4 linked regions of the Caenorhabditis elegans genome follow. The protein of the gene in region 1 interacts with the protein of each later gene in a pairwise test. Each region holds a gene or a part of one and is shown in the gene's direction. Other genes may lie near its edges. The genes, in order: T11B7.1, F59C12.3, pqn-71 and snt-2.

Region 1 (4,530 bases):
ATTGAGGTGAGCGAAAAACGTGTGAACGGGTACTGTAGAAAAATTTCATGAATCATAATATCTATATTACTGTAACTTGTTGTGTTTTCAGTTAACCGAAACAATTTCTGCTCTCCAATCAAAGTTGTATGACGTTCAATCAGAACTGGAAGATACCAAACAGAAGCTAGTCGAGGCTGAAAATTCGGCTTCAGGATGGAATGATGATGATGCGTGGAACAAAAATGAAAATGAAATTGAAGAAGTAAAGAAGGCATTGGAAATCGAGATTTCAAATAGGAATGATACTATTGTGAAACTTCAAAATCTTGTCTCTAATCTACGGCAACAGCTTATCGAGGCATCCGAATCGGCTGATCTGAAGTCTCTGGAAGAGTTGGAACAGTTAAAAGAAGAACTTCGCATTGTTTCGGAGCAGAATGGATTGCTTAAGGATTCGGAAGCTCGATTATTGGATCACGCTGACGAGTTCGCCGTTCAAATGGACAAGTATCGTGAGAAATGCGAAGTTCTGACAGCAAAAATTGCAGAACTGGAAGCACAACTTCAGAATCCTGCTGAAGAAGATCAACAGCAGAAGACATCAAACGTCGAGCTAGTCAAGCTGAGGTGAGTTAAATCTTTTTAACGTTTAAATGAATTGGTGTATAGAACGAAATTTTATTTTAAACTAAAGTATTTGATAGCATGTTCCGGACATGTGAAAATCGAAAAAATAAAGTAACACACAATCAGAAAATTAAATATAGATTTATATTAATATTATTTCAGACAACAACTTGCAAATGCTCAACAGGATATGCGAGTTCAAAATCTGACGATTTCTGATCGTGAAGGTCTTATCGCGGAGTATCGTCATCAAATTGCCGAGCAGACCAAGACAATTGAAGAACTTCACTTGAAACTAAAAACCTTCTCAGCGGCGGCTCGTCGAACTTCTCCACGAGTGCCAATGTCATCGAATGTACCAGCTCTCTCATCCCGCCCATCATCCAGAATGTCAACGTCGTCACGAATCTCAACCGCGTCTTCGTTTGTGCCAGAATCCGTGGCAGTACCACTACAATCAACTGGATCAGCGTTTGATGTCGTCGTACGACAGGTATAAATTTAGCTTTTCATATGATTTCCAGATGCCCAAAACCTAATTGATCACGTTTTCAAACTTAAATTCTTCTGAAAATGTTATCTATGTTACCTTCAAACATTTTTTATGGCGACATCTAAAATAGTGGTATTTCGAAAAAAAATCTCATTGTACATTCGGCCGATATCGGATGCGATACACAAAACCAAGTAATCAATATTACTTACAGAGTGGCGAGCCTCTTCGACGTCGTAACAAATAGATGAGATGACCCCTGTACGTTGCCCGTGGAGAGTGTGGTTCACTGTTTCTTCCAACACTACAAATCTCCAACATACCATTCATTTGCATTCGGTGTTTTCTCCCTCCCTCTTCTCGTTTTTAATCTTTTTTACTTTTATTCTAGGTCTGTCAGTTCTGTAGGATCCCTAATTAAGTAACTTTTCCTCAAGTATTTTTTAATGTATATTCGTAGATCTGCTAAACCTAAATTGAATCGATAATTTTTGGAAACCTTCTTTTCGAGTCGATAATATACATGAGCGTTCTGTTTTATAGTTTTCATCCAGATGACTTGCCCATACGTCATCGTCAAGAGATGACTGATTAATTTATTATTTTTTACATCCAAAGTGCCTTGATATCGGTAGCTAATCGAGTTTTTTGAAGGGTTTTCATTTGTTTTCTTGTTTATAATGCACGAATTGTATGGAAATGATTGTAGTTATGATATTATAAGATATGAATACGGTTTCATTTAACTTCTTTTTTTTAAATCTGTTTTAGTGCAAGGATTTTGGATTTTCAGAGAGTAATGTCAGGAATCAAACCAAGTGTTTCAAAAGGAGAAAGTCAAGCACCGCAAACAAGACAATTGGAAGGTAAACATTTTTGAAATCACAGTGTTTCATAACAGGAATGATATTATTTCTGACGTTTTTTTTTGTATAATTAATCGAAGCTGTCACATCGCCTCGCGCACGCGTGTATGATAGGTTCCATTCGCAATTTGTTCCTGGAAAATTACGGAGAATGAAAGAAAAAGTGTGACGTCATGCGGGTTTTTCTACTTGCGTTTTATGTATCCCGTCTGAAAATCTGAAACATCGATAGTCACGCAGTCCTCTGAATACTTTTCCTCGTGAATGTATATTAAATTTCAGCGTCTAAGCCTACAGTTCAAGGAATAATTGATATTCTTCATGATACCATAAGCTATGTCCAAGTTGAGAAACAAAGTAAAACTATTAATTTTTCCATTCCTCATTTGCAAATGATTAAAGAACAGCTTGAAAGTATTCAATTAAAAGATAAAAACTACAAGGATTTGGAAAAAAAGTTCAATGAAAAACAGGATGAACATTTGGAAACGTAAGTATACTGTTTTTTCGTAATTTTTGTAAGATTAAACTTGTTTCAGAATCCAGAAGTTAGATTCAACACTCAGCCGTCAGAAGCTTAAGTATGATGATATGAGACAGGCACTTTCTGTAAAAATCTATACACTCGAGAATGAATGTTCCAATTTGCAAGACAACTATGCTGACTTGCAAAATGATTTTGAAGTTCAAATTGAAAAATTCAAAAAACTTCAAAACTTGAAAAGTATTCAAAATCACGAGAATTCAAAAAATGTGAATCCTCTAACATTGGATGAGCTCACCGAACAGTTGAAACAATTCAAAGAAGAACTAAGTATTGATCAGAAACTGAAAAATATTCAGTTAACTTGTGAAGGACTACAGTCAGCTGTTGGAAATTTTGAAATGAATTCGAAAAAAGCTAAGGAAATTGAAATTCTTAAAATGGATATAAAGAAGACACAAGAGCTCTATGAATCAAGGTAACTATGTTTATCTGTATAGTCGACCGAAAACATAACATGCACTGCCATCGAGATATAGTAATCTGTTTGGCAGTGTAAGAACAAACATTTTATGTTTCGTAATTACTTTTTCCAGACTGCTCAGGGCTGCTCAAGAAAACAAGAAACTGCTCAGAAAAAACGATACATTGAAAAACTATCTTGATAATCAAACAGCGAAAATTGGAGAGCTCACAGCTGGAAACAAAACAGAGAATCGTTCACCAACTCCAACATTGCAGGGACTTATTGAAATTCTTCAAAAGTTTTCAGACGATCAAAAACTTGAACCAGAATGTAAGATGCTGCAGTTGCATAAAGAGGAGTGTCGTTTGATTTTGGAAAGTCTTGAAGTGCACGATAAGAAAGATCAAGAGATTCAGTGGTTCCAAAGACAAATTAACGATCAGAAAAAAAGGTAAGTTTTGACGAAACATTTATATTTTGTTGATCTTAAAAACACATAAAAATTATTACAGAATCGCTAATCTTGGTTGGTCATACGAAAATGCTCTTGAAGATAAGGATGCTCTAGAATTAAAGCTTGAACATCAATACGAGCAGATGATGGAATTGAAAAAGAATTTCATTCCGAAAAACGAAATTTCTGAGGATTTGGCGAAGACTGTCAGAAATTTTGGAAAACGTCTCAGAAATTCTCGAGGAAATTTGAAGAATGCGTTCAAAGAATTAGAAGCTTTAAAAGAAGTTCAAGAGGAAGAAGGCTCATCAGATGAAAGTTCTGAAAGCAGCGCTTCTGATGATTTACCAGATGGTGACAGCTCGTCAGAGGAATAGCATCGAATCAGAAAATTGAGATTTCATTGAAATTAAATGTACCTTCTTACAATGACTAATATTTTAAAAAATTTTAACTATTCACAAATCAACGATTTTCTTGTTATTCGCTCTACGATATATCATGATTTCCCATTTATCCGACTTTCTCTTTGTTTTCAAATTTTCTTGATTATTCTGATTAACTTTACACTGTTCCAACTGTTCTTGTTTCTGAAATAAAATCTTCCAATAAGTCCTTCCAAGAACCAAAGACAAACTTATGTATAAAAAATGTCACAATTATAACAGCTGCGGACGAGCCCGAACAGGTTGAAAGTCTTTCTCAACCTGTGGACAAATGACGGTCCAACAGCCGGTAATGGACCTAAGACGGCCTTCAGTTTGCCCGCTATAAAACCGTACGTATTAGCCAGCGGTGGGCCACTTTTCACTGTTGCCGCTTCAAATTTGTCATGGCTTGGAATGGATAGAAGATTGTTGAGACGATGGGTATATCAGATTTCTTATTCTGTTCGTAAAGTCTGGATCATTTTGAGATTATTCTGCGTCTAATGATACAATTATCTTATTTATGTTCCTCGAGGGTGTCATTTTTCCATGCTATCGATTTTTTAGACAATCATAAATGTTGTTAGGTTGACCGAAGGCGCTGGAAGATGATGAACATGCCCTAAATTTTTGACTTTTGACAAGCCAAAGTTTACATTTCTGTTCATTAGATCTTTGAAAGCAATTTGATTTTTGTAACATCGGATAGCTTGATTGTGAGTCACATAGG
Region 2 (7,705 bases), on another chromosome or scaffold:
CATAGAATCAAAAAATTGGCATTTTCTATTCAATAACCCATATATTAAATCAATAATCACTAACGCATAAAATGATCCTAAAATACTTTTGATGATTTTCAAATGATTTGTTCAAGGAAACTTAAAGCAATTTATGTGAAAATTCGATAAAACTCAGTATCAAAGAAAAAATAAAATAAAACCAAATAAAACTAAATAAAACTAGGTAAAACTAAGTAAGTAAGTAAAATCGAAAAAGATTCTAAAATATTTAAAAAAATCAGAAGTCAAAAATCCAATTCTACAAGATGATAAACCGACGAATTAATTTTTGTTCGTAATTCCTAGAACTACTGTGTTTTTCATTGCAGTATTTCTTGCAATACCATTTTTTGACTGTTTATATTTGAAATTCAATATACAAAACTGGAATTTACGTAGGATTCAAACAAAAATGTGCACATTTAGAAACAAAATTATACGAGCATTTTGAAGACGCTGGGAATCATAGAAGATCCATGAAAAATACCATGGGGTGCAAAATTGATACAAAACATACCATACCTAAAATTATTAAACGAAAAACTACACATTAAATATCAAAATAGTTTTAAAAAAATTCGTCATATAAAACATATTCTCTTTCCTCATATTTTTGTTTCGAAGTTTTTGTTTCTATTGTTTATGTTTTCGGCTAGCTTCATCATATTTTGCTTTTCATCCTGCCCATTTGTTGTTCAGTACACATGATTCAAAAACAAAAAAACTGGAAAAAACAGCAAAAACATAAGTTTCTTCATTTTGGATTTCGACCACGTCAGAGATTAACACGGATAAGCCGCGATAATCAGAACTAAACTAAACGATTTTGGAAAGAAGGTCTTCCACACGAACGCGTGTAATTATATAATTAGGAACTTGCATTTCGGGTCAGGTCACTTGAAACCTTTTAGTGTAGTTTAATCGAAACTGCGTTTGACCGCCCGAGACGGGTTTGTGTTAGTTTTTTGTTGTTGAGTATTTGTGACTTATACCAGAAATTGTCACTTTTAGTTTGGTCTTACAGTTTAGAGTATTGGTATATTATCAAATTAGATTTAATTCAATTTTAAACTAATGAAAATGTTTCTACATTGTATGTATTAGCTCACGAAGTGTCTTCTTATCATTCGTAAAATTTGGGAACATGTTGCACTGGCAACAATATTCATGGTTTAGTTTTGTTTAATTTTTTTCCAGAATACATATAATTTTGTATCATTTTTTCATGTATTCTTGTGGCGTCAATGTGTCTCATTTTGGTTTGATCTACGTAGACCTACAAAAAATGCAGGAGTTCAGACGCAGAGTTCTCAACTGATTTTGCACGGTTAAGAACGCGCTGGCGTCAATTTTTTTTCGATTGAAAAACTCCCGCATTTTTTGTAGATGAAACCGTAATGCCTGACACCGTGGGCCTGACACCACGTTTGTATTTGCATTCAAAATATTCATTCATTCAAGATGTGAAGTTAAAATTCATGTTAGTATTAGCTTCATGTAGTTTAGTTGAAAAATGACCACGTGAGAATTACGTTATTGATTAAATATTTCTAGGTATGATTGCCATATTAGCACCCAAATAAATGTCTAATTTTTCTCACCTATTTTTTTCTCGTTCTACATTCAATCTTGATGATTCACTATTTAATCGAAACTAATCTCAGGGTGAATGAATCGAGGGGACGTGATAGATCCGCGCTCGTCGGATGGCACATCATCGGATCAGCGACGAGTGCATGCAGTGCCACCGACACCCATGTATCAGGGAGAGACGAACATTTTAGACTCACTTCTAAAGGAGGCTCAGTTGAATCCAAGTCTGAAAGCGAGTGGTGAGCAATATCGAACCAGGGGTCCTGCAATTCGAAAAACTATTTTTCAGTGATGAACCACCAGGCTCAAACAAAAAGCAAGGATGACGACGAGAAGCGGTTGCAGAAGATGCTCGAAAAATATCAGCTTGAAATGAACATGCAAAGAGCAAACAGCCGGAAGGATTTACATGGAAGTGCAGGACGTGCGTGTGACATTTTTTGTTTTTTTTCTGTTTTTGGTGGATTGATGAAAATAGTATATTATTTCAGCATCACCTATCAGTCATTCTCAGCCATGTCTTATTGCGAGTGGATCAAGATCGTCAGAGTAAGTATTGGTTTTATGATGTTTTTGAAACGTTATACGGTAAACTGTAAAATTTTTTTTGAATGTATCAATAACTTTATCCACAGTGTTTCCCACTATGCATTAATTTCAGCCACACTTTTTAAATAAGGAAATTTGTAGCATTTTTTTTTTCATTTTATAAAATTATAAAAATCGTAGAAAACATTTTGGTGAATTTAATAAGTAGTAAGTGACGAATACTGAAAAATTGCTAGATTTCTCTCTTTTTTTTTTGTGAATAAAAAATTCAAAAATTATAACAAGAGTTTCATTTTTATATTTAATCACTATATTCGTATGGAAAAACTTTTAAACAACTTCCGCACAGGTTTTTAGCTAAACGATTATCTAAAATTAAAACTTCCTACTTTCAAGTTGCATTTCAAAAAACAAACAAACTTTTTTGACAAACTCAACATTTTTCCTGAGATATTTTTTTTACAAAAAAAAGCTTGACCTTCTTCTTTTAAACATTAATAATTTCAGTATTCCCCCAAATGAATCAAAAATGAGCACATCTGCCTATCAGCGTAGGGCATCTGCATCTGGAGATCAAGCACTTGACGTCCCCACATTGAGCCAAACTAACAGAGTAAGAACTTCAACAAGCAACAGCAAAACAAACAATTATTTTAGGGAGTATCCAGCAACCAGAAGCTCATTCAAATTCTCCGCGAGGAGAATGTGCACTTGAAAAAAGAGCTCGACGCTTTCAAGCGCAGTCTTTCAAAACTACAACAGGTTTGTTGGAAGTTTCAAAATAGTGGGAAACCTAAATGCTTGCAGATTGAATACTCATATGCTCGACTGGAAAAAGAATACGAATACTTGGCAAATGAACGAAAAAAGCAAGAAAATTTAGAGCTGAACGTGATTATTCAATTGGAAAAGTCTGTAAAAAAGTAAGTTGGTTGAAAATCTTGTCGGTAAAAAGAGACAACAATTTTCTGATATTTATATCTAATGAAGGCAATATAAAAAAGTTTCCATTTAAAAATGAATTGAAAACTATTTCACAAAATTCACGAGCAGCACTTTTTTGTTGTTTGGGGCAAACTAGACAAACATTGAACACAACTAATATCATTGAAGTTCACAACAATAATGATTTGATTAAACAAACTTGGGCAAAATACTCTTCGCATTTGGCTCTTGCAACTTGCCCAAGTTTGGCCCAAAAAATCTTAACTTGGCTTAGAAGTTGGCTAAACTTGAGAAAAAGGATTGAGACTGCACCAGAGTTTAACCAAAGCCGAACTCTACTCTTACCCTACTTTAAACCCAACTCTTGCCAAACTTTGGCCCAAACTTTTCTTGTTTCGTTTCAAACTTTGGTAGAAGTCTGGCGAGAGTTGGGTGAAACTTGTGTTGAACTTTGGTGTAATTTTTGCCGAAGTCTTGCCTAACTTTTGGCCAAGTTGCGCCAATCCATGTTGATATTTTGTAGGACAAAGTTGGGCAAGAAGCCAGAACCAAATGCCGAGTAAGCAAAAAAAAGCTTATTTCATACAAAGTTTTACACGGGCATATTTTTCTGAAATTTTACAATATTTTTATTTTAAAAAGTTTATCCAAAAAAAAAACTGACAAGCGGCAATATATCAAACAAACATCCAATCAACAGGAAAATCCATTATCTTCTAAAAATCTTAGTTTCAGACTTACCATCGAAAGAGACGACTTGCAAATGCGGCTGGAAAAAGCAAGTACTGAACCAACGATGGTGGCGAACCTGATGTTAAACGAAATTCAGCAGAGTGAGGAGAAAAAAAGAAATAAATTTGATACAATAGAACTGGAAACAGAGAAGCAGAATGAGAAATATGAAAAAAAAAACGAATAAAATACTTATACAATTGATTTTTTTCCGATTCAGGGCAAGAACTCTTCGCATGCAAAGAGCGGCAAAAAATGGAGATTGAGGCACAGAATCAGACGTTGGAGGAGCAACGAAATCATATTGCAATGCTTGAGAAGGCACTCGCCAATTCACAAGAGAGATTGGCGAAGCGGGAAAAAGTATGGAATATTTGTGGGAGAATGTGCTGAGCGGAATGGATAACATTTCCAATTTATTTATGGGAAAATGGGGGGAGAACAAAAGTATAGGACCACAACAGTGTACTTTTGATAAAAGTGAACAGTTGTTTGGGTATTTTGTGAATATGGAGAATTTCTGAACATATAGACTAAAAATGTTTTCAAATGAACGAAATTCGTAATGAAACTTCTCCAAAAATTTAAAATTTTTTTTTCCTGACTGTTAGCTAAAATCTCTAATTTAGAATATTTTACCGTGTCGCAGTAGTCGGAAATTGAAGTTTTTGAATTATGATCTCACTTCGTTGATTATGGTACATTTAGAGCCCATTGGTGGCCAGGTTTGGTCACCTTTGGCCACTTTTTCGGTTTTTAAGGATTTTGATCAACATGACTTCATAACGAGACAACCCAAAAATAAATAAAAAATTGTCTCACTAGCCGGAAATCAATTTTTACTTGAAATAGATTTTTAACAGTTGTCTCATTTTTTTTGTTTTTGATGAGACACTCCAATTGATATAATAATGAATAAAAGTGAAACGCGAAAAAAATTTGCAAACTGACGTGGGAAAATAAGAAATGAAAAAAAACTTCCATGTGATACAAACAACAATTGAAAACGTGCTGTGTTTAGAAACATTCAGAACTTGTCTATCAATTTTTTTTCTATTTTCAAGGTAATTTTAAAGGCACTCAAATAGTTATGTACCATTACTTTTGCATTCATATTCAAAAAATATTGCGAAATTCAAATTTTAATTTAACTTTGCAATATACCTTGCACTTCCGGACTTCTCTAAAAAATGTTTTTTGCTTTCTTAACTTACATTAAAAATATTTTTTAAAGCTCCCAAATCAAAACTGTTTTCTTGATAGTACGTTATCTTTTTTTTGAAATTAAAATTCAATAAGAAACACTTTTTCTAGAAATGCGAAGAATTGTCCGCTGTAGTGGCACACGCTGATGAGCTGCGAAAGCAACTAAACGAAGTATGGGAAGAACAACATCGGAGGGATCAGATGGTTGAGTCGGAACGGGCTCAGTGGGAAATGGAGAAGACTCAGCTAAGAATGCAATTGAACAAAGACACATCACTCACTGGAAGTCTTAAGGTTTGTCTCGAAACAGGGAGAGAAATAGTAGTAAATGAAAGTAATGTGGGGTGTGCTAGGAAAAGGGGGGGGGGGGGCGACAACATTTGAACCGGTTCCCGATTATGGGGTTAAATGTCCGGTAATGAAAGTTTTATTGATATAGATCAGCACCGGTCTCAGTATTTTTTTTCTGAAAATTAGATGGGACGCCTATAGGTTAGTACATTTGAAAACGTTTGCAGAGGGTCTAAAGAGCGTCATCATTTTTCTAATATATACCATTAAAAAATGGAGAATTAAAAATTTTTCTAGCATCTCATAATTTTTTTACTGGAAATTAAAATTATAAACTATTATTATTAGTTTATCTTCTATAACAATCTTATCCTAGATATTGCCGTCTAAGCCGTCTTTGTACATAGTAGTACATAAGCCCTGAAATAGAACATGCCAGAACATCTATAGAATTACTCATGGAATTACTAACCACTACTCATTTGCATAATCATCAATTTTGCAGCGAACCACTACTCCCGGCAGCACAGAGGATCTTATTCGAATGCGAAAGAGCATTCAATCAAAAGACGACAAGATTCAGCAACTCGAAAGAATGGTGAACGATTTGCGAAAGTTTGTTTTTTTTTCTTTCTCTCTTCTTTTATTCTCTTCGTTTGTTGAAGAACTGAGCCGAAAACGGAAATGGAGAGCAGAATTGAAAAAGCTTTTTTTAGAACTCACGGTGACAAAACTGAGCAACGGAAGTCAACTCTTGCAACAATAACTGACAACTTTGAAACCCAGGTGGACAAATTGAAAGAGGAGAGTTATGAAAAGGTGAGGCAAGAACTGCTGCTAAATTTTTTATACAAAATTTAAAACAAGTGAAAACATTTATAAGGGATCTTTTCAAAAATAGAGACGTTACTTTTCAAGGTTACGTGTTTTCTCACAGAAAATGTTTTCAATAAATTGTTTAAAGTTTCCCAGTTGCCCCTTATACATATTAACATAATTTATTGTTACATATACTATATAGCACTAAATTTTCGGTCATAAACCCAGTTTATAAAAGCCTCAACAACCGCTCTCTTTCGTGTCCTCGGTAGTATAGTGGTGAGTATCCGCGTCTGTCACATGCGAGACCCGGGTTCAATTCCCGGCCGGGGAGAATCTTTTTGCCTAATAACTTTGGGAGTTTAATTCAAGAGAGTAATTTTAGATTGGTATATTTAATTATCGCGCCTAGAATAAATAAAAATGTTTCTGATATTTGATATACTAGAAATGAGCTTTATTTCTATTATAGAGAACATCAGAAAACACACTTTGAAATGAGCTCACAAATTACAACGGGCATATTCGATGAATAATTGATAAATTTTAGGATCTGATCATCAACGAACTGAGGTCGGAGCGGGACAAATATGCAGCAATGGTAGATAAAAGTGAGTATATGAAGCCCTAGTCGGGAAAAAAGAAAGGCAAAGGGGGAAGCGTCGACTGCATTTCTTTTGGCATGTGAAAAGAGCACTCTTCTTCCTCTCTCCTTTTTTTTCTCATTTCTTTTCTTTTTTTCCAGACAGCGGAGACGAGGCACTGAGTAGAATGGAGGAAATTAGACAGAAAATACAGGAAAGGAAGAAAAAAGGTCGAATGGGCGTGACTGGAGGGTAAGACGCAGTTTTATTAATTGCTCAAATAAATCAAATATAATTTCCTTAATTCCCATATTCCAGGCTATCAGAACATGCAAGAACTTCATCGGGCTCGTTGATGCAAAATTCTCTTCATCGGAGGTGAGACAAAAAATTATGAGACCGTTGTTTTTTCTTCCTAGGAAACTTTGCAAAAAGTACTCAAAATTTGAGTTTTCTGAACGAAAGCAAAACTACAGTGAATCTTGAACTTTTCTCTAATTGTAAGTTCCTTTTTAAGTTAGTTTTTGAGTATAAAATTTTCAGTTGAATACTTTCTAGAAACACACATAGGTCAAGCTGAAAATACTAGCTCCAGAATCTATTACGATTCGATAAACATCTTCAAAAGTAACAAACTATACAAAAAAAGTTGCAGATCATCATCTGGATCATCATTCGACCCTGTACCGACTGCTCCAATTCCTTACAATATGTTCAAAAATAGTAACAATAACAAGTCAATACTTGCGGATAACCAATTTTCTTGAATATTCCTCATGCACTAGTCATCGAAATTCTATTTATTATTTACAAACACGCTACCAACAACACACTTTCCTTCTTTGTTACTTTCTGTTACATGCATAATTCAATTTATTTTTCAATTCAAGTTTCCAAAGTCCATTCCTCTTAATACAATTTGTATGTAGTTTTGTTCTTTTAATTTTTAGCCAGTTTAGATGATG
Region 3 (3,737 bases), on another chromosome or scaffold:
CTTCAAAAGTTTTTAAATTTTGACACCTTCCGTGTAAGACAATTTATGACGTCACTGCTCTTAAGAGTTTTAACCACAATTACTGTTTTTTGAGTGAAAATGTGTGACCAGTAAGGCATGAGCAGCTGTTCCAAGTTGTTTGAATTAAAATACTTTTAAAATTAAAAAAAACTGGATTTCTCGGTATCCCTTTAAATCTTATAGTTAGTCCCCCTGTTTTAAAATTCAATATACCAAAAATGTTTAGTTCAACACACGAGCCTCAGCTGGAGCGTTTTATTTTTCAATTAAAGTTTTACGAATGCTACTATTTCACGAGAGAAACCAGAATTTACAAAAACAATTTCTGAAAAAAAAACTCACCTTCGCCAAATTCGAGTGTCCCTTTAAAACTTCGAGATTCGCATTTGGATTCGGCTCAGAGACGGGCGTCTTCCATACGGGCTTAACCGCAATAATCGGCCCAAAAACCGCGAAAATCACGGGGAAACATGAGAGTAAGGGCCTCATCAGGCCCACGTTTTAGGCCTCTAGTTTTTGTCCGAGATTTAGGAAAACAATACGGGAGAAAACAAGAACAACAGGGAGGCAAAGAAGTGAGGAAACGGGTGAGGGGGGAGAATGGACATTCCAACATTATTAGATCGATTTAAGCGATATCGTCTGGTTATGATCGACGGAAATCCCTTTTGAATAGACGCTTTTTAAGGAGGGGAAACAGAAATGAAAACTGAGAAAATCGGGAATGAGGGAAAGTGACGGCAGGAAATGAGACTAAATTGGTCATCGATGTGTTGAAATTCTGGATTTTTTTTCGGTTTTGAAAATCTGCTGAATAGAAGATATTTTATTTGAAACAACACAGTTCAGTTATGTTATCGAGAAAAAAAATTACTGAATATAAACTTTACACTAGAAAGATGAAATTAAACATTTTTGCGTCAAATTTTCAATTAAAAATAATTGAAAACTAAACTTTAAAGCCGTTGTAACACCTTATACAGCAATTTTTTATGCAAAATTTTTCACAAATATTTGTTCAATTAATACATATTTATGTTTGAAAACATTAAAATTTTCCATGCCAACTAGATGTACTAGTTGACCACCAGGCGCGCCTCTCGATTCTCTCCCGATTCCGTTTTCTAAAGACCAATTCTAACACCGCCGCCGTGGCCTCCTTAGCTCAGTTGGTAGAGCGTGAGACTTTTAATCTTAAGGTCAGGGGTTCGAGTCCCCTAGGTGGCTTGATTTTTTTGTTTTTTTTTTCATTGTTGAAAAATTGTTTCTTTCTCAATTTTTTTCAAAAGGAATGGGCCGAACCGGGGATTGAACCCGGGACCTCTCGCACCCAAAGCGAGAATCATACCACTAGACCATTCGGCCACGAGAGACATGCTTCACGGAGGTATACACAATTGAGAGGAACAGAGATAGCGCTGGCCAGAGGAGAGTGTAATGCAAATAAACGATTATGGGGAATGAATAATAAATTGAGAATTTAATTCTGTTTTACTTCAAACTTATATATTTATTTCAAAAATAACTGAACAAACATGAATAACTCTGATTAAGAACCAGTTTTCCTCCATCATGCTCAACAAACAAACAAAAGATAAGTTGATTTATCGGGTCAATGAAAAATGCAAACATTGTAAACTTTTGATTAGGATTTTCAAGAAAAAAAAACGTGTCTAACTAGAAACAAAAGTGTAGGTTGGTAAACAACATGAAAAAGTATAAAAGTGGCAAGAATTACACGGGGTATACTCACAGAATCCCATTGAGCGATGCGTTGTGTGATTATATTGTTTGCAGTTGCTTTGGCTGTGGCTCAGGTTAGTTTTTCAATTTTAAACTAATTGTAAGGAATTTGAAAATTTATAATTTCTAAGTGCTGAGAGAAAGCCTAATAATTGTATTTTCTTTTCGCAATTTCGTGTTAACAAAACTACTTGAAATGTGAATTGGCGCTTTAACGACTGTTTTTGAACCTCTTCGAATTTCAATTTTCGACATCATTAACTGAAAAATCTCCTTTTTTAGAGTAATATCTGTATTCCCGTATATGGAAGTAGACCGACCCTGTTTTAATGTGGGCCGATAAAAATCTCGTAGTGACGTTTAAAATTGATAGAAGCATTCCAATTAACGACGTGTTTCTCAACTCAATTTGATTTCAGGCCTCCTCAATCCGCGAAACCCGTCAAGCCTCCTGCGGATGTGCTCAATCGGTTCAGCCGACCTGCTCCTGCCAGCAGGCCTCACAACAATACAGCTGCTCCTGCCAACCTTCAACTCCATGCTCTTGCGCCAGCAGCCAGCAATATCAATTGCAGACGTCTCAATGCATGCCTGCTTGTCAACAGTCCTGCAGTCAACAGTGCCAATCTAACACCAACACTCAATGCCAGCCAACGTGTCAGCAATCCTGCCAGACATCGTCTTGCAATCCGATGACTTCCACACCAATTCCAGCGTCGCAAAGTTGTCTTCCAGAGTGTGAGAACCGATGCATGCAGCAGTGTACTCAACAGCAGACCGCGCAACAGTGCCAGCCAATTTGTCAGCAGCAGTGCCAGCAGGAATGTGGGTCCACAGGAAATATGATGTACAATAATCAGGATCCGTATAATCAAATGCAGTATGGAGGGTACAATCAGCAAGGAAATCAGTACCAGAACCAAAATCAGTACCAAAATCCAAACCAGATCCAAAATCAGTACAACCAGAACCAGTACCAAAACCAAAACTACTACAACCCTTACCAACAAACTCAATGCCAACAACAATGTGCTCCACAATGCTCTCAACAAACTTCCACCAACTGCCAGCAGTGTCAGAACTCCTGCCAGAACAGCAACACTCAAACCATAACCATCTACGTGCAAGCCTCCCCACAGACCTCCCAATGTGTTCCCCAGTGCCAGCAACAATGCCAACAGCAGTGCCAAACTAGAACCACGGCCTCCCAACAGTGTGCTCCAGCTTGCTCGACATCCTGCAATCAATCCTGTAATCAGCCGGCCCAAATGGCATGTCAACCAATGCAAAATAGTCAGTGCGGATGTCAACAAAACTATTCGCCGTGCGGAAATGTCTCCGGGCAGTGTTGTTTGAAGAAGTAAAATTCTTGAAGATTGTATTTCTGTAAATCTAGGAAATGATGAATAAATGTTTCTCACTACCAGTTTTTTTGTTAAATGGGTCCTTTCAAAAGTGCTGAAGCTAATAAATTTGGTACCTGGTATTCACACAACATTTTTTGTTGAATGGAAAAAAGGTGGATGTACCTTTAAAGAGTACTGTAGTTTCGAGCTCTGTTTTTCAGGAATAATCATTTCGAGACCCGGAAAAACAATTAGAAATATTAAGAAAACTATTGTTGTATTGAAATTATGTTGATAAGATTTTATAGAAGATGACCGAAAATGTTTTAAAATTTATAATTGATTAGTATTTTTCGAATTTTTGTTTTCAGAATCAAGGAAAAATCGAAAACTCGACCCACTTGGTCCCTGTTGTTTGTTCTGCTACTACGTAGTAGTTGAGTGAGAGCAAGAAGAGGTGAAAAGTGCATTGAGAAAAAGAGACAAAAAGTTACCCCTTCAAATGCATATCGCTACATATATATAAATAGATGTCCAACTTTTTTCGCACTTTTCAATGAAAAGAAGGGGAAAGTTTATTAGTAATTTTTTTGAATTTTGAAATGTATATTTTTAGGTAGGAAATTT
Region 4 (4,596 bases), on another chromosome or scaffold:
AAATTATTTTTGGCGTTTGAGGAAGTTCTTCATGTTTCAATGTACCGGAAGACATTGACGATACTGTTGTGAGCTGGCTTATTCACTGGATTTAATCCCGACAGGAAGACAAGTTGAAGTGGCCGACCGGCTATCCAATCACCTGCTTCTACTGGATCCATCTGCTACAATTGAACGGTTTCTACTATCCCTTCCCCAATAAAAAAGTAGTCCTCCTCCAGATTTGAACCGTTTGTTTTATTATTCACATAAAATTATAACATAGACATTATGCCAACAATTTATTGATTGAAGACATGAAGTTAACAATAACAAGATTTGACGAGGCGGTTGCAGACGTGGACGCTGGTTGCTCAATCAAGCTGAAAAAAAAATAAGTTGACAGATAATAAAATACTTATTTATTTTAAAGTATATTTGCAGTAAGTTCAGGTTTGTTTGCTGATCTTGAACAGGAACTCTAAAAGCTGATGTACCTGTCTTCGAGACATCAATTCTATCTTGCAGACTAAACTAAACGTCGAAAAGCACAGGCATTCGCGTAATGGACATCTGCTCATCCTACTTGAACTTTTAAATATTATTTTAGTTGGATAAGGTTCCTTTTTTGCATAATCTAGTTAAATTTACCTTCTTGAATCCGATGTCTCTGGCTTGCTCGCGGAAGCATCTACGGCAGAGATCGAGGCCGTACTTGCGGATAAGTCCGTGGTGTCCAGCGCAGACGCGGCTGAAAAATTCAGATAAATGTATTTGAAATACACCAAGTTCAGGTTTGTTTGCTGATCTTGAACATGAGCATCAAAATATGAAGCACATGTCTTCGAGACATCAATTTTATTTCGCAAATTTAACTAAACGTCAAAAGGTAAAGAGCCTTTTCGTAATGGACATCTGCATTCGAAATTTTTGATGAAAATAATACTTACCAGGAGCGGGATCCTGGTCCGAACTTGCGTGGGTGAGAGAACCACAAATTTTGGAAACCCATTGTCGAGAGCTGAAATGGAAACAAAATTAACATCTCAGAATGCAAAATGTTTCGAAAAAGCTGTAAACGGAGGAAAAAAGCGGAAAACAAGAAGACGGTGAGAAAAAAAGCGAAATGCGTCAAAAAATCGATAATTAAAGCAACAACAGCATTTTCCGTAAAATTTCGTTATTTTTCGAAATCTTTCCAGAAGAACTAGTTACAAAACTTCTAATTTAATTCTGCTACTTATAATTACGGAAACAATCGTTTTCCTTGCAAAAATATGGAAAATAGATCGAAAAACTTGATTTTCGGCCAAGAGGCAGAAAATACGGGCGATTTTAGCAAAATGTTGACGTTTTTGGTGAGAAAATGCACGAAATTTTGATTTCCAACAAAAAATTCATTTATTTTCGAATTTTTAACAACAAAAAACACAAAAATCCATCGAAAAATAGGCCAAAAGGAAGAAAAACGCAATTTTTGCAGAACACTCCGCCACTCGGGTACGGTCACACTCGTTTCACGTGTGTCAAAGTCGCGGCGAGACCCACACCAAGACTGCTCCGCCTCCTTCGGGTCGTTTAGGAGGGAGGAGCCGCGCTTTTGAATGGAAAAACGACAGGAAAGAACATTTTTGTGCTCCAAAATTTTTTCAGACAAAAAAATTCGAAAAATCTGAAATTTAATTATATTATTCACGATTTTCGTACTATGTAGCGAGAAAACACCCTAGAAACTCACTATTTTAACTATTTTTCCCCGTTTTTTTATTTCACTGATAACATTTTCTCACTGATACCGCCACAATCAATTATTCAACCATGTGGGCGACCGGAGCAATCGTCTGCTCGCCAGTATTCCGGATTTTGTCGACGTGTTGTCCGATTCGTCGTGGCGTGCCAACGTCGAATGGGGTGAGTGGCTATTCTGATTTTCTTAAAGAGCTAAAAGCTGACAAAACTTCGTTTTTAGTTCGAAAAATTCCTAATAAAAATTTAACGAAAAAAAATTAAAAAACACTACCCGGAGTTTAACCAAAAAGTTTTCACACCAAACTGTGCACACTACTCATTGCGCCAACTGAACACGAAATTTCAAAACATTTTTGGTAAAAATATCGAAAAGTAGATCATTCGATTCTAACAAGAGAGAACAGAAAAAACGTGGACAAAAAAGCGAATTAACTCGGTTCTTCTACTCTTTTTTACTGCCGGGTCGTTAAACATTGGCCACTCGTACGAGTTGTGAGTGTTGCGGCACAAAAATGGAGAAAAAAAGCTCATCAAAAATTCATTTGTTGTCATTTTCCCATTGATGACGTGGAAAATTAAATTATTCGTTACTTTTTTTGGAGATGCGGATCTAATTGACTTAAAATAGTAAAAAAAAAGAACCGAAAATAGAGTTATTTCATCGAAAATAAGCACATTCAAGCATATATATATTCGCACTGCCTCGTGGCTACAAGCCAGGGGTGGGCGGCAATTGCCGTTCCCCAAATGGCAAATTGCCGGAAATTTTCGATTCCGGCAAATTGCCGGTTTTCCTATTTCTCGCAAATTTTCAATTCCGGCAAAGTGCCGATTTGCCGGAAAAAATCGTTTGCCGCCCACCCCTGGTAGAAACCATTTAAATTTTAAATTTTCAAAAAAATTTAGTCAAAATTTTTTTTTCACTGGTTTATCAAAACATTTTTTAAAATTTAAAATTTAAAGTGAAGAAATCCCAATATGATAATATATGTATGCGCCTTTAAAATTACTGTAGCTTTAATTTTTTAAAATTGGATTTCGCGTGGCGAGACCCATTGCGCCTTCCTGAAAGTGCCACAAAGCACGTTTCATTGTAATTTTGACTGAATCCGGGTGGACTTTTCGATTCTCGTTACTTTTTAACGAATTTTACAAACACGTATTAAGGAATTTTATAAAAACCACTTGGTTTTAATTTTTTCTGTACGTCTCTATTTTTGAAAAGATCTTATTGAAACCAACAAACCGACCTTTTTTTAAAAGATTTCTTAATTTTCTCTGAAAAAAAACACCGTTGAATCCTAATTTTCGCCACTAACGTATTCAAAGAGTTTTCGGCCAAATGTCTAGTAAATGATGTGGCTGCTCTAAGCTCGAGCTTAACAATTCTAGAGTATTTTTCCACGAAAATAAGCTGCTGAAATCCGTCATCTTTGCTTCGTCTTCCCCATTCGCCTGAAAAAAAAACAAGTTTGTGTTCCTCCAAGAAGCTTCTGCTTTCCGAGCCCCCTTCGCCAAAATACAAACGACATCGGAAACAATTCATAAAATACAACATGTCTTTTCTACTTCCCATAACATCTTCTTTTCTGTCTTTTTTTTTCTTCAACATGACACGCCAACGACCGAGCCGATGATGTGCTCTTCGAGAGCCTTCCCCGAAACGTATTCGGGGGAAAAGGATAGGCAACCTTGGAAGGGCGCCGAAAAAATGGAGAAGAAGAGGAAATTTGAAATTCCGAACAAAAAATTCCCCCTATTTTTCGCATCGCCGACGATCTAACCAAAGGGGCATCACACAATAAAGTGCGGGAATAGAAAAAGCACTTTCTGATGTCTGATGACACGGGGTTCTGGCCTTCCTCGTTGCATTTTTCGCGCTCCATTGACAATCGCCTGCCGGGCAACGCATGGGAAAGCCGTGTACTCCACACGCAAAAATACATTTAGGTTTAAAACTAAAACCGAGCCGCGACGCGACACGCAACACGCCGTAAGTCTACCCAGGACTTGGCCGAGCCAAAATGGCCTAGTTCGGCAAACTCTTACATTTCAATTTATGAAGGAAGTCAGAACCGCGTGTCTGGAGTTCTCCGGCATTTCAGATTTTCGGAACTTGGCAATTACCGACAATATCGAGTTGCCGTGAAGTTGTGGAAGTTTTACTCAAGTTTAAATATGAGGTTTAATAAATTCCACCTTCTAAATTCTCCAGAAGAGCCAAAACTTGTGAAGTCTAAGACATATAGTATTCAGATTGCCAGAGCCCTTAATCAGACCCACCGAAAAAAAATTAGCCTTTTTTGACAAAAATATGAGATTCTAGCTACTAGGCCCTTCTGGCAAGCCCTACCCTCAGCCCTACGTTGCTACTAATATTGAACATTCGGTTTTTCCGCTACTTGCGTTGTTTTTGCGCTGTCTTATCAGAATTATCCAAAACTAGCGATCTCATTAATTTTTTGTCGAGTTTTGCTTTTTTCCTAATATTGGAATGAGAAAACGACACGAAGCCAACAATTTTTCCAATCTTTTTCTTTTTTTTCCACAACCACAACCAACTTCACTAATTCCACCTGCAAGGGGGGTTTTCCGCAAAAAAACGTCATTTTTCCGGGGAACTTTTTTTCGACAATTCCAGGTATTTAAGATAACTTTTCTTGTCGGATGCAGACAAGAACTGTGTGCCGTCAAATCCTTACTAATCCAAATATGTGCAACTCAGCATCTTTTGATCACCTTTAACATAATGATAGAATATGGATAATCCGCTCAATTTTCGGCAGTGAAAAAGATGAAGAAGATGAATCTAATCCATTGAGGCAAAAATATGAAGAGCCGGGGAGCTTGAATATTAGATAAATTAGA

What was found.
Region 2: the proteins of T11B7.1 (region 1) and F59C12.3 interact in a two-hybrid assay, tested with the Caenorhabditis elegans proteins (one large-scale study listed by BioGRID).
Region 3: the proteins of T11B7.1 (region 1) and pqn-71 interact in a two-hybrid assay, tested with the Caenorhabditis elegans proteins (one large-scale study listed by BioGRID).
Region 4: the proteins of T11B7.1 (region 1) and snt-2 interact in a two-hybrid assay, tested with the Caenorhabditis elegans proteins (one large-scale study listed by BioGRID).

Annotation. Positions count from the first base shown.
Region 1 is NC_003282.8:8,838,824-8,843,353, forward strand, and holds T11B7.1 (Centrosomal protein of 162 kDa), read left to right. Parts: upstream 1-1,893; 5' UTR 1,894-1,901; coding exon 1,902-1,968; intron 1,969-2,250; coding exon 2,251-2,458; intron 2,459-2,507; coding exon 2,508-2,930; intron 2,931-3,048; coding exon 3,049-3,369; intron 3,370-3,430; coding exon 3,431-3,749; 3' UTR 3,750-3,982; downstream 3,983-4,530. Other genes in the region: T28C6.7 (Kinesin motor domain-containing protein), read left to right, coding at 1-6, 92-609, 772-1,102, 1,317-1,349; T28C6.11 (uncharacterized protein), read right to left, coding at 840-1,060, 1,315-1,438.
Region 2 is NC_003284.9:16,603,505-16,611,209, reverse strand, and holds the start of F59C12.3 (Angiomotin_C domain-containing protein), read left to right. Parts: upstream 1-1,685; 5' UTR 1,686-1,690; coding exon 1,691-1,853; intron 1,854-1,903; coding exon 1,904-2,038; intron 2,039-2,105; coding exon 2,106-2,163; intron 2,164-2,333; exon of another isoform or gene 2,334-2,558; intron 2,559-2,670; coding exon 2,671-2,776; intron 2,777-2,820; coding exon 2,821-2,925; intron 2,926-2,970; coding exon 2,971-3,086; intron 3,087-3,843; coding exon 3,844-3,941; intron 3,942-4,060; coding exon 4,061-4,203; intron 4,204-5,154; coding exon 5,155-5,340; intron 5,341-5,842; coding exon 5,843-5,952; intron 5,953-6,053; coding exon 6,054-6,156; intron 6,157-6,407; exon of another isoform or gene 6,408-6,500; intron 6,501-6,706; coding exon 6,707-6,767; intron 6,768-6,901; coding exon 6,902-6,992; intron 6,993-7,058; coding exon 7,059-7,118; intron 7,119-7,395; coding exon 7,396-7,507; 3' UTR 7,508-7,705.
Region 3 is NC_003283.11:15,463,911-15,467,647, forward strand, and holds pqn-71 (Prion-like-(Q/N-rich)-domain-bearing protein), read left to right. Parts: upstream 1-1,766; 5' UTR 1,767-1,790; coding exon 1,791-1,838; intron 1,839-2,183; coding exon 2,184-3,128; 3' UTR 3,129-3,190; downstream 3,191-3,737. Other genes in the region: rocf-1 (ZP domain-containing protein), read right to left, coding at 364-510.
Region 4 is NC_003281.10:790,704-795,299, reverse strand, and holds the start of snt-2 (Synaptotagmin 2), read left to right. Parts: upstream 1-1,566; 5' UTR 1,567-1,797; coding exon 1,798-1,890; intron 1,891-4,596. Other genes in the region: trpp-11 (Trafficking protein particle complex subunit 11 domain-containing protein), read right to left, coding at 46-161; rps-29 (Small ribosomal subunit protein uS14), read right to left, coding at 354-362, 631-730, 930-991. UniProt on the Caenorhabditis elegans protein: Ca(2+) sensor involved in Ca(2+)-dependent secretion of the nlp-40 neuropeptide from intestinal cells. Involved in the defecation motor program, which is a coordinated series of three muscle contractions that occurs every 45 seconds.